Linked DNA regions of Lonchura striata. Each later gene encodes a partner of the first gene's protein in a complex. Links are inferred from orthologs where the notes say so. Each region holds a gene or a part of one and is shown in the gene's direction. Other genes may lie near its edges.

The links.
Region 2: the proteins of GNAT1 (region 1) and UNC119 are in contact, whole or in part, in a crystal structure (PDB 3RBQ), measured with the Homo sapiens proteins. The link is inferred for Lonchura striata from reciprocal best matches to the Homo sapiens genes GNAT1 and UNC119. Residues at the interface, in NP_000163.2 of Homo sapiens: Gly2, Ala3, Gly4, Ala5, Ser6, Ala7, Glu8; in NP_005139.1 of Homo sapiens: Asp87, Phe88, Val89, Arg90, Phe91, Ile105, Lys106, Lys107, Gly126, Arg127, Phe128, Val129, Tyr131, Phe137, Val147, Glu163, Leu172, Ser218, Tyr220, Asn230.
Region 3: the proteins of GNAT1 (region 1) and PDE6G are in contact, whole or in part, in a cryo-EM structure (PDB 7JSN), measured with the Bos taurus proteins. The link is inferred for Lonchura striata from reciprocal best matches to the Homo sapiens genes GNAT1 and PDE6G. Residues at the interface, in NP_851365.1 of Bos taurus: Ser140, Arg201, Arg204, Lys205, Trp207, Ile208, Phe211, Asp227, Val229, Glu235, Val236, Asn237, His240, Glu241, His244, Leu245, Ser248, Ile249, Ile281, Phe283, Glu305, Leu306, Met308; in NP_776846.1 of Bos taurus: Arg36, Gln37, Phe38, Lys39, Ser40, Lys41, Pro42, Pro43, Lys45, Leu60, Val66, Ile67, Cys68, Pro69, Trp70, Glu71, Phe73, Asn74, His75, Leu76, Glu77, Leu78.

What each region holds. Positions count from the first base shown.
Region 1 is NC_134614.1:10,258,882-10,266,124, forward strand, and holds the start of GNAT1 (guanine nucleotide-binding protein G(t) subunit alpha-1), read left to right. Parts: upstream 1-4,210; coding exon 4,211-4,316; intron 4,317-5,760; coding exon 5,761-5,803; intron 5,804-6,009; coding exon 6,010-6,151; intron 6,152-6,222; coding exon 6,223-6,380; intron 6,381-6,464; coding exon 6,465-6,593; intron 6,594-6,674; coding exon 6,675-6,804; intron 6,805-6,889; coding exon 6,890-7,043; intron 7,044-7,243. UniProt on the Homo sapiens protein: Functions as a signal transducer for the rod photoreceptor RHO. Required for normal RHO-mediated light perception by the retina.
Region 2 is NC_134622.1:7,364,368-7,371,397, reverse strand, and holds the start of UNC119 (protein unc-119 homolog A), read left to right. Parts: upstream 1-3,976; 5' UTR 3,977-4,040; coding exon 4,041-4,158; intron 4,159-7,030. Other genes in the region: GPI-anchor transamidase component PIGS, read left to right, coding at 1-3, 444-533, 670-761, 881-1,079, 1,353-1,495, 1,588-1,702, 1,873-2,018, 2,129-2,229 and 2 more. UniProt on the Homo sapiens protein: Involved in synaptic functions in photoreceptor cells, the signal transduction in immune cells as a Src family kinase activator, endosome recycling, the uptake of bacteria and endocytosis, protein trafficking in sensory neurons and as lipid-binding chaperone with specificity for a diverse subset of myristoylated proteins.
Region 3 is NC_134621.1:11,088,702-11,094,334, forward strand, and holds PDE6G (retinal rod rhodopsin-sensitive cGMP 3',5'-cyclic phosphodiesterase subunit gamma), read left to right. Parts: upstream 1-4,560; coding exon 4,561-4,706; intron 4,707-4,781; coding exon 4,782-4,822; intron 4,823-4,907; coding exon 4,908-4,984; 3' UTR 4,985-5,094; downstream 5,095-5,633. Other genes in the region: CCDC137 (coiled-coil domain-containing protein 137), read right to left, coding at 58-268, 426-553, 869-1,161; OXLD1 (oxidoreductase-like domain-containing protein 1), read left to right, coding at 1,320-1,355, 1,930-2,289; TSPAN10 (tetraspanin-10), read right to left, coding at 5,336-5,633.

The sequences.
Region 1 (7,243 bases):
GGAGGTGGTATTTATTTGTAGGCTGTACGTAGTCACTGGGGTGGTGTACCCCCAGCTCCAGGGAGGAGCAAGGACCTCTGGGGAGGAGCAGGGACCCTTGAGGTGGCTGCAGTCACCATCGCTGTCGTCCCCCCTGCCAAGGACCCCCTAGTCCTGTTGTGCAGGAACCATGGGTCAACACAGCCCCTCTCACAGCTGGGGCATGGCACCGTGCTGGGGCATGGATGTCCTTGTGAGGGAGGGGAAGATGCCCTGGGCAGGGCAGGGGGGTGAGGCATGGGACAGGCAGTGCCAAACAAGGGCTGCCCACTGCAAGCTGGGCATGGCCATCATAGTTTTGTGCCTCAGTTTCCCCACAGGGTTATGGAAGAGCAAGTGCTTTCTGTAGGGAAGCTGTAGACCACCAGGCAAGCTGAGGAGGAGGGCCAAGGGTACACAGCTCTGTCCCCTCCCTGGGGGCTTGGCAGGGGTGGGATGGGACCTCAAGGTAGGACCGAGGTGTTCAGCCAATAGTGGGGTCTTGGCCCCAGGGTCTTTGGATGGAGAAGGGAAGGAGAAGGGGCCATGCTGGTGTAAATCCTCAAGCTGGTGCTTGGTGACAGCGGCACCCAGAGGTCTTTGGGGCACCCAGCCCATCAGCCACCCCGACGGGTGTGGAGGGCTGTAAATAGTTGTACATGGGGAACACAGGGGTGACCAGGGCTGAGTGAGTGCCCCCTGCTGCAGCTAGGGGCACTCCCAAATAAACACTGGCTTTGGGACAGACCTGTGTGTGCTCTGTCGGGGACAGACCTGGTCCCCACCAGGAGATGCCCTGAGCCCTGCCGGGGTGCTTGCCCTGCCCCGGGGGGCAGTGGGTCCCTGGTGTGGGGGCAGGACAGTCTGTGGGGATGCTGCTGCTGGGTGTGGGGGTACATGGGCTGGGCTGGTGGCTGCCCCACCGCTGCGTGTTGCTGAAGGCACAGGGAGCACTCAGAGTCACTCCTGCGGGCACAGGGAAGCGCTGGGCACCCTGGGGCAAGTACTGGATATTAGGATATAGTGGTGGGAGTTGGTACTTGGTGGTACTGGGGGCATGGAGCAGGGGAGGAACTACAGAGGGCACTGGGGGTGGTAGTGGATGATGCTGGGAGCACTTTGATATGGGGGCTGTACCAAGCTCCTCTGAGTAGTCCCAGGAGGTACTGGGGTCAGTTCTGAAAGGGCCTGGGCTGTATCCAAGGTTGTACTGGGCACACTGGAGTTTGGTACTGGGAGGACTAGAAGTTCTGAGGCATTAGGATTTGGTAGTAGGAGCTGGTACTTGGTGGCACTGGGAGTAGTGGTAGGGAAGTGGTAATGGATCTGTAGGGGTGGCTGGGGCTGTAGTGGGAAATACTGGGCTGTAGCAGGGCACTCTCTTCAGTTTTGGGGTAATGGAGGTGATACTGTGCTCCTCTGTCGAGTCTGGAGAGTCACTGGTGTGAGTAGTGGGGGTGTGCATGGCTGTACTGGGGGCACTGGGCTGTACTGGTGTGTACTGGGAGCTGTGCTGGGCTGTACTGGGCTGTAGTGGGCTGTACTGGTCTGCACTGGTCTGTACTGGGCTGTACTGGTCTGTACTGGGCTGTACTCGTCTGCACTGGTCTGTACTGGTCTCTATTGGCCTGTACTGGGCTGTACTGGTCTGTACTGGGCTGTACTGGGCTGTACTGGTCTGTAGTGGACTGTACTGGGCTGTACTGGTCTGTACTGGTCTGCACTGGTCTGCACTGGTCTGTACTGGGCTGTACTGTCTGTACTGGGCTGTACTGGTGTGTACTGGGCTGTACTGGGCTGTACTGGGCTGTACTGTCTGTACTGTCTGTACTGGGCTGTACTGGGCTGTACTGGTCTGTACTCGTCTGCACTGGTCTGTACTGGTCTGTACTGGCCTGTACTGGGCTGTACTGGGCTGTACTGGGCTGTACTGGGCTGTACTGGTCTGTAGTGGACTGTACTGTCTGTACTGGGCTGTACTGGGCTGTACTGGTCTGTACTGGGCTGTACTCGTCTGCACTGGTCTGTACTGGTCTGTACTGGCCTGTACTGGGCTGTACTGGGCTGTACTGGGCTGTACTGGTCTGTACTGGGCTGTACTGTCTGTACTGGGCTGTACTGGTCTGTACTGGTCTGTACTGGACTGTACTGGTCTGTACTGGGCTGTGCTGGTCTGTACTGGGCTGTACTGGACTGTACTGGGCTGTACTGTCTGTACTGTCTGTACTGGGCTGTACTGGGCTGTACTGGGCTGTACTGTCTGTACTGTCTGTACTGAGCTGTACTGGTCTGTACTGGGCTGTACTGGTCTGTACTGGTCTGTACTGGTCTGTACTGGGCTGTACTGGTCTGTACTGGGCTGTACTGGTCTGTACTGTCTGTACTGGTCTGTACTGGGCTGTACTGGTCTGTACTGTCTGTACTGGGCTGTACTGGGCTGTACTGTCTGTACTGTCTGTACTGTCTGTACTGGGCTGTACTGGGCTGTACTGTCTGTACTGTCTGTACTGAGCTGTACTGGTCTGTACTGGGCTGTACTGGTCTGTACTGGTCTGTACTGGTCTGTACTGGGCTGTACTGGTCTGTACTGGGCTGTACTGGTCTGTACTGTCTGTACTGGTCTGTACTGGGCTGTACTGGTCTGTACTGTCTGTACTGGGCTGTACTGGGCTGTACTGTCTGTACTGTCTGTACTGTCTGTACTGGGCTGTACTGGGCTGTACTGTCTGTACTGTCTGTACTGAGCTGTACTGGTCTGTACTGGGCTGTACTGGTCTGTACTGTCTGTACTGGTCTGTACTGGGCTGTACTGGTCTGTACTGTCTGTACTGGGCTGTACTGGTCTGTACTGGCTGTACTGGTCTGTACTGTCTGTACTGTCTGTACTGGGCTGTACTGGGCTGTACTGGGCTCCGCTGGGAGCTGCACTGGGCGCTTTCGCCCTCTGGCGGCCGAGCGGGGCACTGCAGGAGAGCCGCGGCGCGGGGAGGGAGCGCTGGGGACAAACGGGACACGGGACACAGGGACACAGGGACACTGGGCTGTGTGACACAGGGACACTGGGCTGTACTGGGGTCACTGGGGCAGTCCTGGCAAGGCCTGGACTCACCGAGCTGGGGGAACACCGGGGAGTTACTGCCATGCTCCTTGGGAGTCTCAGTTTTGCTGTGGTGGCCGCAGTGGCAATGGGGAGCACTGGGGACATTGAGGGGACACTGGGAAGGCACACTGAGGGACCCAGAGACATTGTTGGGGGCTCACTGCGGTTGGGGTGGCGCACAGAGGTGGCACTGCAGTGTCCCTGGATGTAGGACAGGGTGTTTTGTGACTGCTCACGGTCACTGGGATTTCTTCCGTAGTCACTGGGGAGTGTTACTAAGAGGGGCTTTGGAAACCCTGAGGAGGGTGTGTGGGTATCCCTGGGGACATCGTGCAGGTGTTGCTGGGGGGCCTGGGAACGCTGTGGAGGTGACACTGAGCTGGCCTGTGGCACTGGGAGTGTACTGGAGGGTGGCTGGGCAGGCACACTGAGTGCACCCGGGGGGCATGGGGACATTAGTGGAGGGTTCTGGAAGGGTCCCTGGGGACACAGGGTCTTGTGACTGAGCCTGACATTCCATCACTGTGGGCAGTGCTCATGGAGACACTGGCATGGCTTACTTAGTGGGCACTGGTTCAGAGCAGGGGGTGTGACCAGGTGAGATGGGGACAATGGGGCATTTGCTCCCACTCTGACCAGATCCCAGCAGACACACCATCCCACGCCCCAGTTCCATACCCCTGGAGTCCACAGCAGAGCTGGAGATGGGTCTGGGTCCCATTTCCCGCAGGGTGGCCGGGTCACCGCCCCGGCCCCAGGGTGGAGGCAAAGCTGGGGCTGGTCGGGCCGGGGCACCCCCCCGGCAGAAGTGCTGACAGCGGGAGCCACGGGATTGCTGAGCTCAGCCCGCCGCAGATTGAAGGGGGTTTATCGGGGGGGCCCAGCTTAAGCCCCGGGTGCTGAGCACAGCCCCCCGGCAGGCAGCCCCGGGACCTTGGCCCCGTCCTTGTCGCACACCGGGCGGGCGGCAGCGGCGGCGGCGGCGGGCACCGGGAGCGAGCGCTGGAGGCGGCCGGAGGCTGGAGCTCGTTGCCCATCTTGGTGCTGACCTCCAAGGAGCGGGTGGTGAACCGCAGGGCTGCGGGGCTGAGGATGGGAGCCGGGGCCAGTGCCGAGGAGAAGCATTCCCGAGAGCTGGAGAAGAAGCTCAAAGAAGATGCTGAGAAAGACGCCAGGACTGTCAAGCTGCTGCTGCTGGGTAAGAGGGAGACAACACCCTGGGGGACATACCCATCCTTTGAGCATCTCACCCTAACAGCCCACCCAGCGCGCCCCTGAAACCTACCAGTGCCCCTCAACCTAACCATCACCCCTCAACCCCACCAGCACACCCCGTAACTGCCCCCGAACCCAACCAGCCAATCCAACATTCCTCTGCCCCCCAGATGGACCCCCAAACCCAAGCAGCCCACGCTCACAGTTCATTCAACATTCTCCTGACTCACGTAGGATTCTTAAAACCAAGCAGCTTACCCCAGCATCAACCCCATTCCCAGCAGCCCTAAACCAAACCTCCCCATCTCAAGAGCCCACCCAATGTTTCCCTGATGCCTCTGGCACCTTTAAACCAAACCAGCACAACCCAGGAGTGTCCCCAACAGCCTCCCACTCCCAAGCATCCCTAAAACAACCAACCCCTCCCCAGTAAAACACCCAAAGTTTCCCTGACCCCACTCTAAACCAAATCACTTCAACAGTCCCCAGGCCCCTGCTCCTAAGCACCCCTAAACCCAGTCATCCCACTCTAGCAGTCCTCTGACCCCCACAGCACCCCTAAAGCAAACCAGTCAATCCAAAAAGCCCACCCAACGTTTTCTTTCTTATTTGGCACCCCTAAACCCAATCAGCCACCCTAACAGCCCCCCCCCATTCCCAGGATCCCCTAAACCAGCTCATCCCAGCTTGCTCAACACCCCCTACCAGGCACCCCAAACACAACAGACCATCTCAACAAGAAGATGAGATCTTGAGGTCCTAAGATCCACCCCAAGATCCCCTGGCTTCCACATATCCCTCAGCCCAACCAGCCCACCTAACAACCCCCAAATCCCAGGTCCCCTAACCCCAACCAACCCATCTTAAGAGCCTTCACCAACTCCACCTATCACCACTCCAGCCCATCAGCACCCCTGCCCCATCCTCCTAGGGACCCCTATGCAGCCCATACCACCACCCCATGTCTGTCCCTGGAGCCCCCTTGTGCTTTGTGTCCCTCCCAGTCCTTCCCAGTCCCCAGTGGTGGCTGAGGATTGGGGTGCCGTGTATGTGGTGGGGCCATGGGTGGCATCACTATCCTCACAGCCTGGCCCAGGAGGCATCTGTCTGCACAACCACAGGTTTGGGGCATTGGGTGATGGGTGGCAGGGTTGCAATGCCACCATGTCCCCAACCCCTCCCTTGGGTTCCTGAGAGTGTCCCTGGCTGAGCTGCTTCAGATCCCATGAGACACAGCAGCTCAGCCTAACCTTAATGCCTCTGGCACAGGCTGCTAATCCCCCTGCACACCCCGAGCCATGGACCCAGCCCAGCCAACAGTGCCTGCAGCCGTGCCAGGCACCAAGGCTCTCAGTGAGCCAGCACGGGGCTCAGCTGGGAGTGCCCATGGCATGGGCACCACCATGACCCATGTTTTGTCCTCTTAGGAGCAGGGGAGTCGGGGAAGAGCACCATTGTCAAGCAGATGAAGTAAGTGCCATGGGGGGGGTCACTTGATCATGCCCACCGTGCACAGTGTCTGTCCCACACTGCAGCCATGGGGTGCCCTCTCCATGGGGTGCCCTATCCCACTGTGCCTGACTCTGCCCCCTGCCACTGCCATGGGGCGCATCCACCGTGTGGCTCAGCTCCACGGCACCCAGCTCAGCTCCACGCCTGTGATCTTCCCCGGCCAGGATCATCCACCAGGACGGTTACTCGCTGGAGGAATGCCTGGAGTTCATTGCTATCATTTACAGCAACACGCTCCAGTCCATGCTGGCCATCGTGCGGGCCATGACCACCCTCAACATCCAGTATGGGGACACCGCTCGCCAGGTGAGGAGTGTTCCATGTTGGGCAGGGTTCCCCACAGTCCCCAGGCCCCACTGAACCCCTCTCCCTCACAGGACGATGCCCGCAAGCTGCTGCACCTCTCGGACACCATCGAGGAGGGGACCATGCCTAAGGAGATGTCAGAAATCATCGGGCGCCTCTGGAAGGACTCGGGCATCCAAGCCTGCTTCGACCGCGCCTCCGAGTACCAGCTCAATGACTCTGCGGGCTAGTACGTGGTCAGGGAGCGTGGTGGGGGGGGGAGGCATGAGGGGCGTTCCAACCCGTGTCTCATGCCCACCGCGTGCCTGGCCAGCTACCTGTCAGACCTGGAGCGCCTGGTGACCCCCGGCTACGTCCCCACAGAGCAGGACGTGCTGCGTTCCCGCGTCAAGACAACTGGCATCATCGAGACCCAGTTCTCCTTCAAGGACCTCAACTTCAGGTGGGGGTCAGCCCCCAGTGAGGGCTGGTGACAGGGGGTGGGCAGGGGGAGGGGGTGCTGACCCTCCTATGTCCTGCCCAGGATGTTCGACGTGGGCGGACAGCGCTCAGAGAGGAAGAAGTGGATCCACTGCTTTGAGGGTGTGACCTGCATCATCTTCATCGCGGCTCTCAGTGCCTACGACATGGTCCTGGTGGAGGATGATGAAGTGGTGAGGAATGCTCACCATCTCACACCCCCTCTGCTTTGTCCTGGTCATGACTTGGGTGCCATCATGAGGCTGTGTCCCTCCACAGAACCGCATGCATGAGAGCCTGCACCTCTTCAACAGCATCTGCAACCACCGCTACTTTGCCACCACCTCCATCGTCCTCTTCCTCAACAAGAAGGACGTTTTCCTGGAGAAGATCAAAAAGGCCCATCTCAGCATCTGCTTCCCTGACTACGACGGTGAGTGTGGCAGTGGCTGGTGGTGGTGGGGTGCTGCTGGAAGGTTGGGTGCCACCACCCCGCAGGAGTTCCCCACCAGGTGTCCTCAGCATCCCATGCAAGTGGTGCTGCATGCGCCTTGTCGCGGGAGCATGCAAAATCTACCCACCCGAGGGAGCACTGGGTAATCCTGGGCCGGCATTTTGGTGGGGGACACCAGC
Region 2 (7,030 bases), on another chromosome or scaffold:
CTTGTGTGTCCCTGCCCCGTCTATTCCTTATGAGTGCCTGCATCCTTTCGTGGGGGTCCCTGCCTGTGGCTTCAGTCACCGGCAGCCCGGAGCTCCCGGGACCCCGAGCCCCATTCACCAGCATCACCCTGTCCTGAGCTGGCAGTGCTGGGAGCAGGGACTGGCACAACGAGGTCCCGGGGTGCTGCAGGGAAGAGACCAGCTCCATCGCCTGGGGATGGGGATGATGCAGCCCTCAGAGGCTGGGATGTGTCTGGCTGGTGTGGGGCTGTCTCACTACCAGTGTGGACCAGTGATGCTACATCCCATAGTGCTTCATCTCACTGGCACCCAAAGGACCTCGCGCCATGTGTCCTCCTGGGGTTGTGCCTTGTCCCTGTGAGCACCAGGCTCCTGTGAGGGGCCCGAGATCAGCAGATTCACTCGGGTTGTTTGCCCCACAGTGAGAACCAGCATCACGTCTCGCTATGAGATGCGCTATCGCAGCACCACGGCTCAGGAGGAGGCAGCACTGGCTGCGGCGACTGCACGAGGTATTGGAGCAGGGAATTGCTGGGGAGCTCCTTTTCCTGAGGCTGGCAGAGCAGAAAACACACTTTGCTTTCTGTCAGAGTGAGACAGGGATTGGAGTGAAATTCCCACCCCTGCCAGTGCTTCCATCTTCCCCAGAGGCTGATGCTGCTCTGTACCTGCTGCAGGACACCACCTTGGGCTCTCTGACCATGTATGTGGTCCCTGAAACCTCTTCTCTCCTGCCTCAGGTAGGGAGCAGCACCCTGTGGTGCCAGCCTTTACATGCTTCACCCCTGGGAGGTGGCACAGGTGGCACTGTGCTGTTCTCAGGGCTCTGCTCCCAGCCCTCACCCTGTGCCACCCCCAGGGCATCAACGCGTACGTGGGGAAGCACCGCAGCGCCCTGGTGAGGGCTGGGGGGAGCCTGGCTGCCCTGCAGGCCCGGCTGCGGGAGGTGACACAGGTGATGTCCTTCACGGCCAGCTCCATCGCCGCCGTCCTCTCGGACCGTGTGCCCGACGGTCAGCTCAGCTTCGACGCACGGCGGAACCTGAAATCCAGCCTGGGTATGGATGTGCTCTCCATCCCTGTTCCCTGGCCTTGGGAAAGCCATCTGCTCCTGGGGAAGTGCCATTCCTGCTCTGCTTGTGGAACCCCTGGGTGTCTTCTGGGCTAACAGATCCCTTGGTCTGTAGCTGTTGTTCTGGGTCAGGGTTGGGCTGCGATTGCTGTGTTAGTGTCACCTCACACTGGGGTGGGCCAGGGAGGAGGGGACAGGCCCTGCTGCTCTTGGGAGCTCTGTCACAGCCTCAGTGGCTCACAGCTATGGGTCCTTGCAGGGTATGAGATCACCTTCAGTCTGCTGAACCCTGACCCCAAGTCCCACACCGTGGACTGGGACATTGAGGGGGCTGTGAACCGCTTCGTGAAGCCTGTCCTGGACAAACTGAGCTTGGTGGCCAACTTTTCTGTGGATTCACAGGTGAGGGCTGGGAGAGATGGCAGGGAAAGCCCAGACCTGACCTCTCTGGGATGCTCTTCTTTGCCAGCAATGTGTCCCTTGTGTGCCTGCAGATCCTGTACTACGCCGTCCTAGGAGTGACACCACGCTATGACAAGGAGTCCTCCAGCTTCCTCCTGAGTGCTCACAGCCTCCCACATGTCATCAACCCCGTGGAGGCCCGTCTGGGTGAGCACTGTGCTCGTGGCTCACTGGGATCTGTCTCATGGGACCATGGCTCCTTTTCCCCCCAGCCCATGTGAGAGCTGCTGGGGTGGCTGTGAAGGAGGAGCTGAGCTGTGGGCTGCTCTCGCTGTTCCTGCCAGCCACAAGAGTTCTGTGACTCTGTCCTACTGCAGGCTCCAGTGCTGCCTCACTCTATCCCGTGCTGAACTTCCTGCTGTATGTGCCAGAGCGCTCCCACTCCCCTCTGTACATTCAGGACAAGGATGGAGCCCTAGTGAGCACCAACGCCTTCCACAGCCCTCGCTGGGGTGGGATCATGGTATGGGAACCATGGGGGCGCTGGCAGTGCTGGGACAAGGTGGTGGCTCCCCATTCCCACCTGTTGGCCCTGAGGCCCTGGCTATGCCTCATTAACACGCATTCCTGCAGGTTTACAACGTTGAAGCCCCTGCTTCCCCCCAAGCCTCTCTCCCTCTACATGTGGATGTGGACATGGCACGAGTGATGGAGGTTTTCCTGGCCCAGCTCCGGTGAGGATGTGTTCTTCCCTCCCCAGGCCTCTGTGGAAATCAGCGGGGTCAGAACAGGCTGTACCCAAACAGCTTGTTCACTCCCTGGGCTCTGGGAGGCTGAGGGTGGCTCTTTGTGGCCTTCGAGGTATTGGCTACTAGCCATCACTGCTCTGTGGCCAGGGATGCTGGCACATCTCTCATCTCCTCAAGTAGGAGGCTTGGCTTATCATGCCACACTTCCAGGAGACAATTTGGCAGGAATGGGACTAAACACAACAGGGAAGGAGAGCAAGGAGCTAATGGAAATGAAGGCTTCTGATGTGGGCTGGGATCATCCCTTCTACTCCCAGGTTACTCTTTGGGCTGTCTTGGGAAGAGGTGCCCCCCGAGTTCCTGCTGGAAAGCCCAGGGAATGAGGGGCTGGCTGACTGGGAGCTGGACCACCTGCTGTGGGCCCACACCGTGGAGAACATCGCCACTGTGTCCACCACCCTGACCTCGCTGGCCCAGCTCCTGGACAAGATTGGGAACATCGTCATCAAGGATGATGTTGCCTCTGAGGTAGGGCTGGGGCACCCTGAGGGGGGGAGCAGAGAGGGCTGAATGTCCCTGCTGCCCTCCCTGGCCAGGGACTGACCCTTGATGTTGTGCCCACACAGGTGTACCGGGCAGTGGCCTCGGTCCAGAGCGCTGTGACCGAGCTGTCCCTGGGCCACCTGCTCGCAGCTTTCCAGGCCAGCAAGGAGGCTGTCACCTCCTCGGAGAGGGCCTTCTTTGATCCATCTCTCCTTCATCTCCTCTACTTCCCTGACGACCAGAAATTTGCCATCTACATCCCGCTCTTCCTGCCCATGGCTGTTCCAATTCTACTATCCCTGGCCAAGATTGTCCGGGAGACCAGGCTGCGTAAGAAGGAGCCCACCAAGATGGACTGAGCCATGGTGCCCTGGCTTGGGGCTGTCCCCACCCTGTGGGATGATGTTGTCACAGACTCATGGCCCAGAAAGGCACCCCAGGGTCCAGGCTTGGCTGCTTGGCTTGGGTGTGCCAGGGCCAGGATGCAGGAGTAGGAAGAGAGGCTGCTTTGGGAGGTGGGAAGGGGTCTCACTTTGGGTGCTGAGCCCTCCTGCACCCACAGGGGCAGAGAGGGGAGGGAGGGTGCTGCCTTTGTGTACCCCCAGCCTGGTGCTGTAATCAGAAGAAGCTGCTGTGTAAATAAAGAACCCCCTGCTCTTTGGGGGGCTGATGTAGGGCTGTGTGAACCTCCTTTAGCCTTCTTGGGGGTACCTGTTGCCCTGCCTTCCCCTGGCCCAGCTTTCATGCCCCCACTCCATTGCTTTATGGGCTCTGGCTCCTGTCTTACGGGTATTTAGCCAAAAATACTTAGTTGGGGAGGGGGGACAGTTCCTGGGGGGGCAGTTCCTGGAGTCCATCCCGACGATGGGTGTGGAGCCCCTGCGAGCAGCCCACCTTAGCGGGGTCCATCGTGTGTCGGTCAGGGTGCTTGGGGCGGGTGTCGCCCTGCTCTGGGCCAGGTGTGGGGTTTGTCCTCACCTCACCCGAGGGGGCTGACCCCCATGGCGGGGGGGGTTCGCAGGAAGGGAGACCCCGGCCTCCTCCAGCAGAAAGGCTTTGCCCTGATCGCCGGGGAACGGCGTGCAGGGGCCGCTCTCCTCCTCCGCCCTCGTTCCTCCCCGTGCCCGCGGAGCCGGGCGGCGCTGCGCGGCCGGGGGCGGGCCGGGGGCGGTGATGGCGATGCCCCTCCCGGTGCGGCGGCGCGCAGCGGGGCCGGGGCCGCTCACACCGGCGGCGGCGGCGGCGGCGGGGCCATGAAGGTGAAGAAGAGCGGCGCGGCCGGGGCGGCGGCGGCCAGGACCGAGGAGGAGCTGGGCCGAAAGGCGCTCATCGGGCCCGACGATGTGCTGGGGCTGCAGCGGGTCACCAGCGGTGCGTGCCGGGGATGGCGCGGGGGGAGGATGGGGACCGTGTCCCTCTGGGGCTTTTCCCGGGGGGAAAAAGGGCAGCCGGTCCTCCTCTCCGAGGGGTCTAAACAGGGGGGAAAAGAGGAGCCGTTCCCCCTTTCAAGGGGGCTAACCCAGAGGGAGAAGGGGAAGCGGTCCCCCCTCCCGGGGGACAAGAAGTGGGGATGCAGCACGGCCGGGGACAGAGCCCGCCTCGGGATGTGCCACCCCGGGGGTTGGGGACCATCGGGAGAACAGGGCAATCAATGCCCGGAGCTGGGGATGCAGCCCCCCAGCTCTGCTCGAAGGTCGGTGTTGGGATGCTCATCACTGTTCTCCCCATCACCCCATTCCCTGTGTCTGCTCCCACCCTGTGCCCACGGCAAGGGGATGGGCCGGATCCCTGGCTACAGCATGGGGGGACTTCGTAGCAGCCCCCCAACCCATTTTCCCCCTCTCCAGTATAACACCCGTGGTCTTGAGGGCATCTTGGGGGCGCTGGGTGGGAGTGTGTGGCTGGAGGGGCTGCTGTGCTTGGCAGAGGAGCTCTGGACAGCAGCACACAGGGCTGGGGAAAGGCCAGGACAGGGGGACATGGCTTCACACTGATAGGGAGCAGGTTTAGATTAGATATTAGGGAGAAATTCTTCCCTGGGAGAGTGGTGGGGCCCTGGCACATTGAAGCTGTGGCTGCTCTGTCCCTGGAAGTGTTCAAGATGAGGTTGGAAGGGGCTTGGAGCAACCTGGGCTGGTGCAAGATATTCCTGCCCCTGGCAGGGGTTTGGAAGCAGACAGTCTTTAAGGTGCCTTCCAATCCAAACCATTCCATGGTACCGCCTGTGCCTCAGGCCTGCCATGGCCAGGAGCAATCTGCCCCGGTGTCCCAAGAAGTCCTTTTTCCATCTCCTAGGACCTTTGGGTGGTCTCTCTGGGCTGTCAGGGCGGAGGGGCTGCCCTGGGGTCTGGCTGTGCTCCCTGTGCCTCACAGCACGCTGGCCTCAAAGCCAGCTCTGTGTCACAGGCTGGGCTGTGACGAGCCCTGGAGAGGAAGGATGCGGCTGTGGGTGCTGGTGCGTGCAGGCAGCCCCGTGGGGCTGCTGTGTGAGCAGGATGGGAGGAGGACAGCCCGGCAGGGACTGGTGGCAGCCCTCAGGAAGGGCTTAGAGGCTCCTCTGAGAGGGGCTGCTATTGCTGTGGACCCTTGGGTGCCCTTCTGCGAGCTGAGGTGCTCTGCTGGTGCAGCTGCGTGATTCACTGCCCAGAAATCCCCTGCCTGTAGCAGGGAGAGCACGCAGCAGGCACTGAAGCATCCTGCCAGCATCCTCAGTTGGATGGTGGATCCCAGCCATGGCCCTGTGAAGCACTGCGTGCTCACTTCATGGCAGCCCCCGTGTCCCTGCCCTCACCAGGGCTGTCTGGAGGGGACAGGGCCACCCCACACCCTTGCTGTCACCTCGTGTGGCATCAGTGGGGATGGATAGTGCCTGTTCTTGGTAAGCTCCTGCCTTCCCAGGGAGCAGGGATTGCTAAGCTGGTGAGCTAGGCTTGGGGCACAGCTGGTTGTCTGCTTCTTCCAAGCCCAGGTCAGAGTGCTCAGGAGCACAGGGAGGATGTGAAATGCATGAAAATGTTGCGTTCCCCTCCTGCTGTGAGACTTGCTGCTACCAGGGGTGCACAGCCAGGCAGTGTGATGATGTCCCAGGCTTACCATGGGAAGTTCTTCCTGTCCTGCTGGATGTGTGGGAGCCAGGAAATGCTCTCCACACCTGAAACCCTGGGTGAGTTTGGGGATACAGGTAAACAACAGTACATACATGTTGAGCATATTGTATATTATCACCCGGTGATAGATACACTTTGCAACTCTCCTTCTCAAGCTCTGCTTTTGTCCTGGGGAGTTCAACAGAAAGCAAAGGATATTTTTCAGATCTTTAACACCTAATGATTATTTGGAGCATTCGATGTCCTTTGCCAATTTCTACACCCTTAAAAACAGATGGCCAAAAGTAGTGATGTGAAACTGTTCCACTCTTCTGCTTTGCTAAAGGGGAGGAAGGACCAGGCTGTGGGAGAGAAGTTCACAGCAACCCCAACCTTTTGGACGTGCTGGGTGTCGGGCAGACACCACACCCTGTTGCAGCAATTCTGTCTTTGACAGGCAGAAGTTGAAGGAGGAATTGGTGGTGGGGCTGCAACAGAAATGTCCTGGTGCCCTGGGTGCCCTTTGTTGTTCCAGAGAGAGGATAATCCATCTTTATTCAAACTCGTGGGCCAGTAGCACTTCAGCTTGCACTGAACTGCACTAAACTGTGGCCTGTCTGGGACCTGGGGAGGGCTGGCTGTGTTTTAGGGTTGCTTCACCAGCCAAAGCCCAGCAGGGCTTGGTGCCACGGGAAGGTGTGTTTCAGGAATGCTCACACCAGGATGTTTCAGGAATGCTCACACCAGGAGCACATGCTGTGTTTCTGAGCAGCATTCCATGTTTCCAGGGAGAGGTGGAGTTCTGGCTGTAGCACAGAATGGTTTGGAGGGGACCTTAAAAACCACCTGATTTAAAAGTGCCTCACCCAGAACAGGAACACGGGAACCTCCCACTAGATGAGGCTGCTCCAAGCCTCATCCAACCTTTCCTCGAGCACTTCCAGGGATGGGGCAGCCACAGCTTCTGTGCCCAGCCCCTGCCAGTGCCTCAGCAGCCTGACAGGAAAGAATTCCTCCCTAATAATCTTTTCCATCAGGCAGCACAGCTGGACTTTACTCTTCCAGTAGGTGCAGCTGACCGAATGTGAGGTGGCTGGGCTGGGAGGGTGGCGAGGAAGGATGTGGCTCTGTGGGCAGCCACAGGAGCCAGCTGGGCT
Region 3 (5,633 bases), on another chromosome or scaffold:
GAACTGGGCAAGCGGACAGGCCACAGGTATGGGGTGGCCCCAGGGCCTTGCTCTCACTCTTTTTTCCTTTTGGACTTCTCTGGAGCTGTTGCCTCCTTCTCAGGCTCCCTCTGGAGCTGGTTCTCCGCGAGGAAGAGGACGCGCTGCACCTCCTGCTCCATGCGGCAGATGTAGGAACGCTCCGACTCGCCCCGGCCCCTCCGGAACCTGGGCACGGGGATGTCCCCCGGGGCCTTGGGGCCCTTGGACTTCTGCTGCTGCTTCTTCTCTAGGAGAGACGGGTGACATTTCTGCAGCGGTGACACGGCGGGGGTCCCTCCCGGCTGGCAGAGCACGGGTGGGACGTCACCAGAGGATGTCCCACGGCAGGATCTGGCCATGCCACAGGCTCCTGGCCACCTGCTCGGGCCACCTGCGGGTCCCACCTGCCGCCTGCCTCCTGCCAGGCTCCGGGCGCTTCAGGGCCTCGCGGCTCCGCATGAGCTCCCGCAGGCGGAACGGGATCTCCTGCTCCTCGGGGTGCTTGGGCTTCATGTTGTCCTTCTTCTCCTTCCTGAGGAAAAAGCACAGTCAGAGGACTCCAGGGAAGCGCCACAACCTGGAGACCGGGACAGCGGGACCCAGGCACCGGGACAGCGGGATCCAGGTACGGAAGGATGCTGGGATTTGAGCACGGTGGAAAACTGAGACTTGGGCATGGCTGAACACCGGGACCGAGGCATCGGAGTCAGCACGGGCAGGCATCGGCACCGGGGCACGGGCAGAGACCGGGACGCAGACGCCGAGAGCGGGACCCCCGCCAGGGCCCCCGCGCGTGGGTGCGGGTCCCAACCGGGAGCGGCCCCGAGTGGATCCCGCGGGCACTGACCTGCTGCGCAGCGGGACGCCCGGGCCATGCTCCGATCTCGGCCCCGCTTTCTGTCCCGGCCCCGCTTTCCGTCCCTGTCCTAGTCCCGGTCTCGCTTTCTGTCCCGGTCCCCGGGCCGGTTTCTGTCCCGGTCCCGGTCTCTGTCCCTGTTTCGGTCCCGGTCTCTGTCCCTGTTTCGGTCCCGGTCCCGGTCTCTGTCCCTGTCCCGGTCTCTGTCCCTGTTTCGGTCCCGGTCCCGGTTTTCGCCGCGGGCCCCGGGCCGGTCCCCGGGCCATGGCTCCGCCACCCCTCATGTGCCCGTTCCGCCGCCACTTCCGGCTCCCGGCCCCGCCCCCTGCTGCTTATTGGCCCCGCCTTCCCCGCCACTCCCGCGCAGCTGAGCGCGCCGGGCTGCCATTGGCTGTGAGAGCTGTCAGTCGAGGCGGGGGCGGGGCCAGGGCGCTGCGGCCGGATGCTGCTGCGGGGGCTGGCGGGGCCGCGCCGGGGGGTGAGCGGGACCGGGAACACGGGGGGACACGGGGGACACGGGGAACACGGGGGGAGTCCTCGGGAGGGGCAAAGAGGTGCTGGGCGTGAGATGTGAGCGAGGACCGGGGGACGTGAGGGTACTGGGGCGTCAGGGGGGGTGCTGGGGATGGCGGGGGACGAGGGGGGATGTGGGGGACATGAGGGGACAAGGGGGGCTTTGGGGCTGGGGGATGTGGAGAAAACAAGGGGGATGGGGATGGGGGTGCAGGGAATGGGGTGGGGGGCAGGAATTGGGGTGCTGGAAGGGGACAGGGCAGTGCTGACAGTGGGAATACACTGGGAGCAGGGAATGGGGTGGGGGGCAGGAATTGGGGTGCTGGAAGGGGGATTGTGCAGTGCTGACACTGGGGGTACACTGGGAGCAGGGAATGGGGTGGGGGGCAGGAATTGGGGTGCTGGAAGGGGACAGGGCAGTGCTGGAGGTGGCAGTGGGGGTACCCTGGGAGCAGGGGTTCCTGTGGCTGAGCTGGGGGTGCAGCAGCCCCGCCGTGCCCCCCAGGCTGGCACCAGCACGGGGGTCTCGGTTCCTGCAGCCCCCAGGCGGCCCCAGGGGGACCCCCCAGCCCACCACCGCCTGCAGCCCCCGGCAGCGCTCGGACACCGCAGCAGAGGCCGGGGGCACCTCGGGCACGCCGGGAAGGGACAGCAGGACAGCCACCCCTCATGGGGACAGGGGGGACCCTCCTGCAGCGCCCCCGATGCCCCCCCCGCCCACCCACTGCTGCGGGACCGGCTGCCCCAACTGCGTCTGGGTGGGATACGTGGAGGAGCTGCTGGAGCGGCACCGGGACGGCGGCGCCCAGGCCTTGGCGGCCGTGGAGCAGCACGTGGAGGACGAGAACATCAAGATGATCCTCAGGATGGAGATCAGGCTGCGTGCCAGGAAGGACTGAGCCTCCCCCGGGCTCCCCAGCCCCGGGGGGGGACACCCCTGGGGTGGCAGGATCCGGGCCTGGGTTGTCTGTAGTGTTTGCTGTGTGCTGAGCACGGCATCCCGGGGGTGTCACACGAGGCCAGGTCACCTCCTGTCTCACAGGGAGCTGTCCTTGGGGACAGGCGGTGACTCAGGGCTGTCCTGAGCCCCGGATTTCCCAGGAGCTGGATGCTGTGCCCTCCCCAGCATGGCAAATCCCTGCCAAGGGCAGGCTGGGCGGCCCCCCAGCCCTCCTCCTCCTGTGCTCCCAGCTGGAATTTAAGCACCTTGGGGAGATTTTCAGCACCTTGGCCATGCCCTGGTGATGGGGAGGGCTGTGCCAGACCCCTCCCCACTGGCACCACAAAGCCTCTTAGGGGCCTCTCCGTGGGGGCTTGGAGGGCAGCGTGTGGCACTGAGCACGTGGGCAGCAGCAGCCTCCTGTCAAGGACACCGGCCCTGTCCCTGGTGTCACATCCTGCCGGGCTGCTCTGCAAGGTGCCTTTTCTGCCTCCGTCTTCAATCCCCAGAAACTTGTCCCAAATTCCCCCCTCCAATCCCGGGGGACTCGCAGCTGTTGAGACCCACACAGACCCCTGCACGTCATCCCAGGACAAAGTCCCCAGGAAGCCACCCAGCCCTCGGGTGTCACTAATGAACCCCAATTAACAGCCAGGCTCTGCTCTCTGCCAGAGAAGTAGGTGTTTCTCCATGGAAAACGCTCCTGGATCCCTTTAATCCTATTTGTTGGAGCCCAACTAATTGCAATTAGTGGTAGGGGCTGAAGTTCAATTAAAGTGTGCCGAGATTAGTCCATTTTTAATTGCTTTACTGCTGGATTAGGGAAGCTTTGGAGCAACACCAGCCACGAGCAGGGGCTGCTGGACCCTCTCTGGTATCAGGACCCCCACCCAGGCTGGGCTGGAGCCTGGAATGGGGGTCCCATTGCTCCCTCTGGGATCAGGGGACACTGGGGGAATCTCTTTGGGAATGGGAAGCAGGATTCCCCCACGTGGGATCCGCTGCCCACCGGCACGGGCAGAGCTAATCCTGACACCTCCTCCCCCCCCCAGAGCAGGGGAAGGACACGGGATTACCCCTGGGGAAAGCAGGGAGGTAAATAATCCTATTACCCCCGGGCAGGATAAATCTCCCTCCCCACAAAGTCCCGGAGCATCTCTGGGCTGGAGGGAGCCGGGCCGGGCGGAGGGAGCAGCTCTGGGATCGGGAATCGCGGCACTCCGTGAGTCGGGGCTCTCCGGGAGGGGACCTGGGGTCGTTTGCTGCTCCTCCTGCGCCCAGGAACATCCAGGAGCACCTCCCTGCCTCAGATCCTAATTCCCAGGGCCGTGTCCTGCTCTGCAGCAGGGCCAGATCCCCCAAACCCATCCCAGAGCGGGGCTCTGGCCACAAAATTCCCACTCCTGGTGCTAGGGGCCATCCCTGCTCCCCCTTCCCAGCCCGGGGTACCCACCACACCCCCACACAGACCTGGGCACACCCTGCAGGGTCCTGGCAGTGCCCGAGGGGTCCCAGGTGGGATGGGGAACAGGAGGGAGGAGCAGCAGCACCTCGGGGTGCCCTTCCCGCCTTTGGGGGGTCAGGCTGAGCCAGCCTTGTGGGGAGGGGGCTCTGCAGAGCCCACCTGGGGCGGGTGGAGGAGAAGCTGGTGGCCCCATTTCCCACCAGGGGGGTGAGGAGCTGTCCCGTGGCAGCGCTGATCCGCAGGGAACGCCGTGAGCTCCGGGGGACACCGTGATCCACAGGGAATACCGTGAGCGCCACAGGACACCGTGATCCACAGGGAACACCGTGAGCTCCACAGGACACCGTGACCCATAGGGAACACCGTGAGCTTCACGGGACACCGTGATCCACAGAGAATACCGTGAGCTCCAGGGGGACACCGTGACCCACAGGGAATACCGTGAGCTTCACGGGACACCGTGACCCACAGGGAACACCGTGATCCACAGGGGGACACTGTGAGCTCCAGGGAACACTGTGATCCACAGGGGACACTATAAGCTCTGGGGGACACCGTGAGCTCCAGGGGGACACCGTGATCCACAGGGAACACCGTGAGCTCCAGGGAACACTGTGAGCTCTGCAGGACACCGTGATCCGCAGTGGACACCGTGAGCTCCGGGGAACACTGTGATCCACAGGGAACACCGTGAGCTCCAGGGGAACACCGTGAGCTCTGGGGGAACGCCGTGAGAGCCCCGGGGCTGTCAGCCTCCCCCCAGCCATGAGCCTGGAGCCTCCCAAGCTGGAGGTCAAATCGGCCACGAGGGTGAGCGGGGGTCCTGCCACCCCCCGCAAGGGACCCCCCAAGTTCAAGCAGAGGCAGACGAGGCAGTTCAAGAGCAAACCCCCCAAAAAGGGGGTGCAGGGGTGAGTGGGGAAGGGCCCCGGGAAGGGGGTGGGCCCTGCCTGGGGTCAGGCCAGACAATTCCTCTCTCCTTGCAGGTTTGGTGATGACATCCCGGGCATGGAGGGGCTGGGAACAGGTATGGGAATGGCATCCCTGTGGCAGCGGGGAGCAGGGCTGGGGAGGGCTCACATTGCCACAAGCTCTGTCCTCTCTCTCTGCAGACATCACCGTCATCTGTCCCTGGGAAGCCTTCAGCCACCTGGAGCTGCACGAGCTGGCTCAGTACGGAATCATTTAGGATTTGGGCAGCTCACCAGCCCTGTAGTGCTATGTAGGTCGAGGCCCCCCTGCCCATGCTGTCAGGGGGCTCAGTTTGGAAAAATCCTCATTAAACCCTAATGAGCACAGGAGTCAATGTTGTGAGCTGGCGAGGAGGGAAAGCGGCTCCCCAGGGCCTGGGGTGGGACGGGCAGGACACCAGCGGGTTCAGGATTCTGACAAGGTTTATTTGGGGTGGACCAGCACCCCAGACACCCCCAAATCCCCACCCAGACAGCTGCACTGTCCCTGCACACCCTCAGCAGCAGCACCCACGGCGATGACGGTGGCACAGACGAGACGCAGAGGGGTTCAGTATTTCCAACAAGGTTTATTTGGGACCAAACCCGCCCCGTGCACATCCCAATCCCTGCGGTGCCCTCACGGCCGTCACCTCCCCGAGCACCCTCAGAGCCAGGAGGGCTCCCACGGCCTCCAGCAGCACCAGGGCGGTGGCGCCGGCGGCGATGGCCCCGGCCTGGCCCCGCAGCCAGGCGGCCAGCGCGGCCCCGCAGCCCCCGGTGTGCAGCAGGGCCCCGGCCGCCACGCCCGGTGCCAGCGCCCCGAACCCGCACCGGGCATCGGGCACGGAGCCGGCCCGCGGCGGCGCCCGGCAGCAGGAGGCTGGC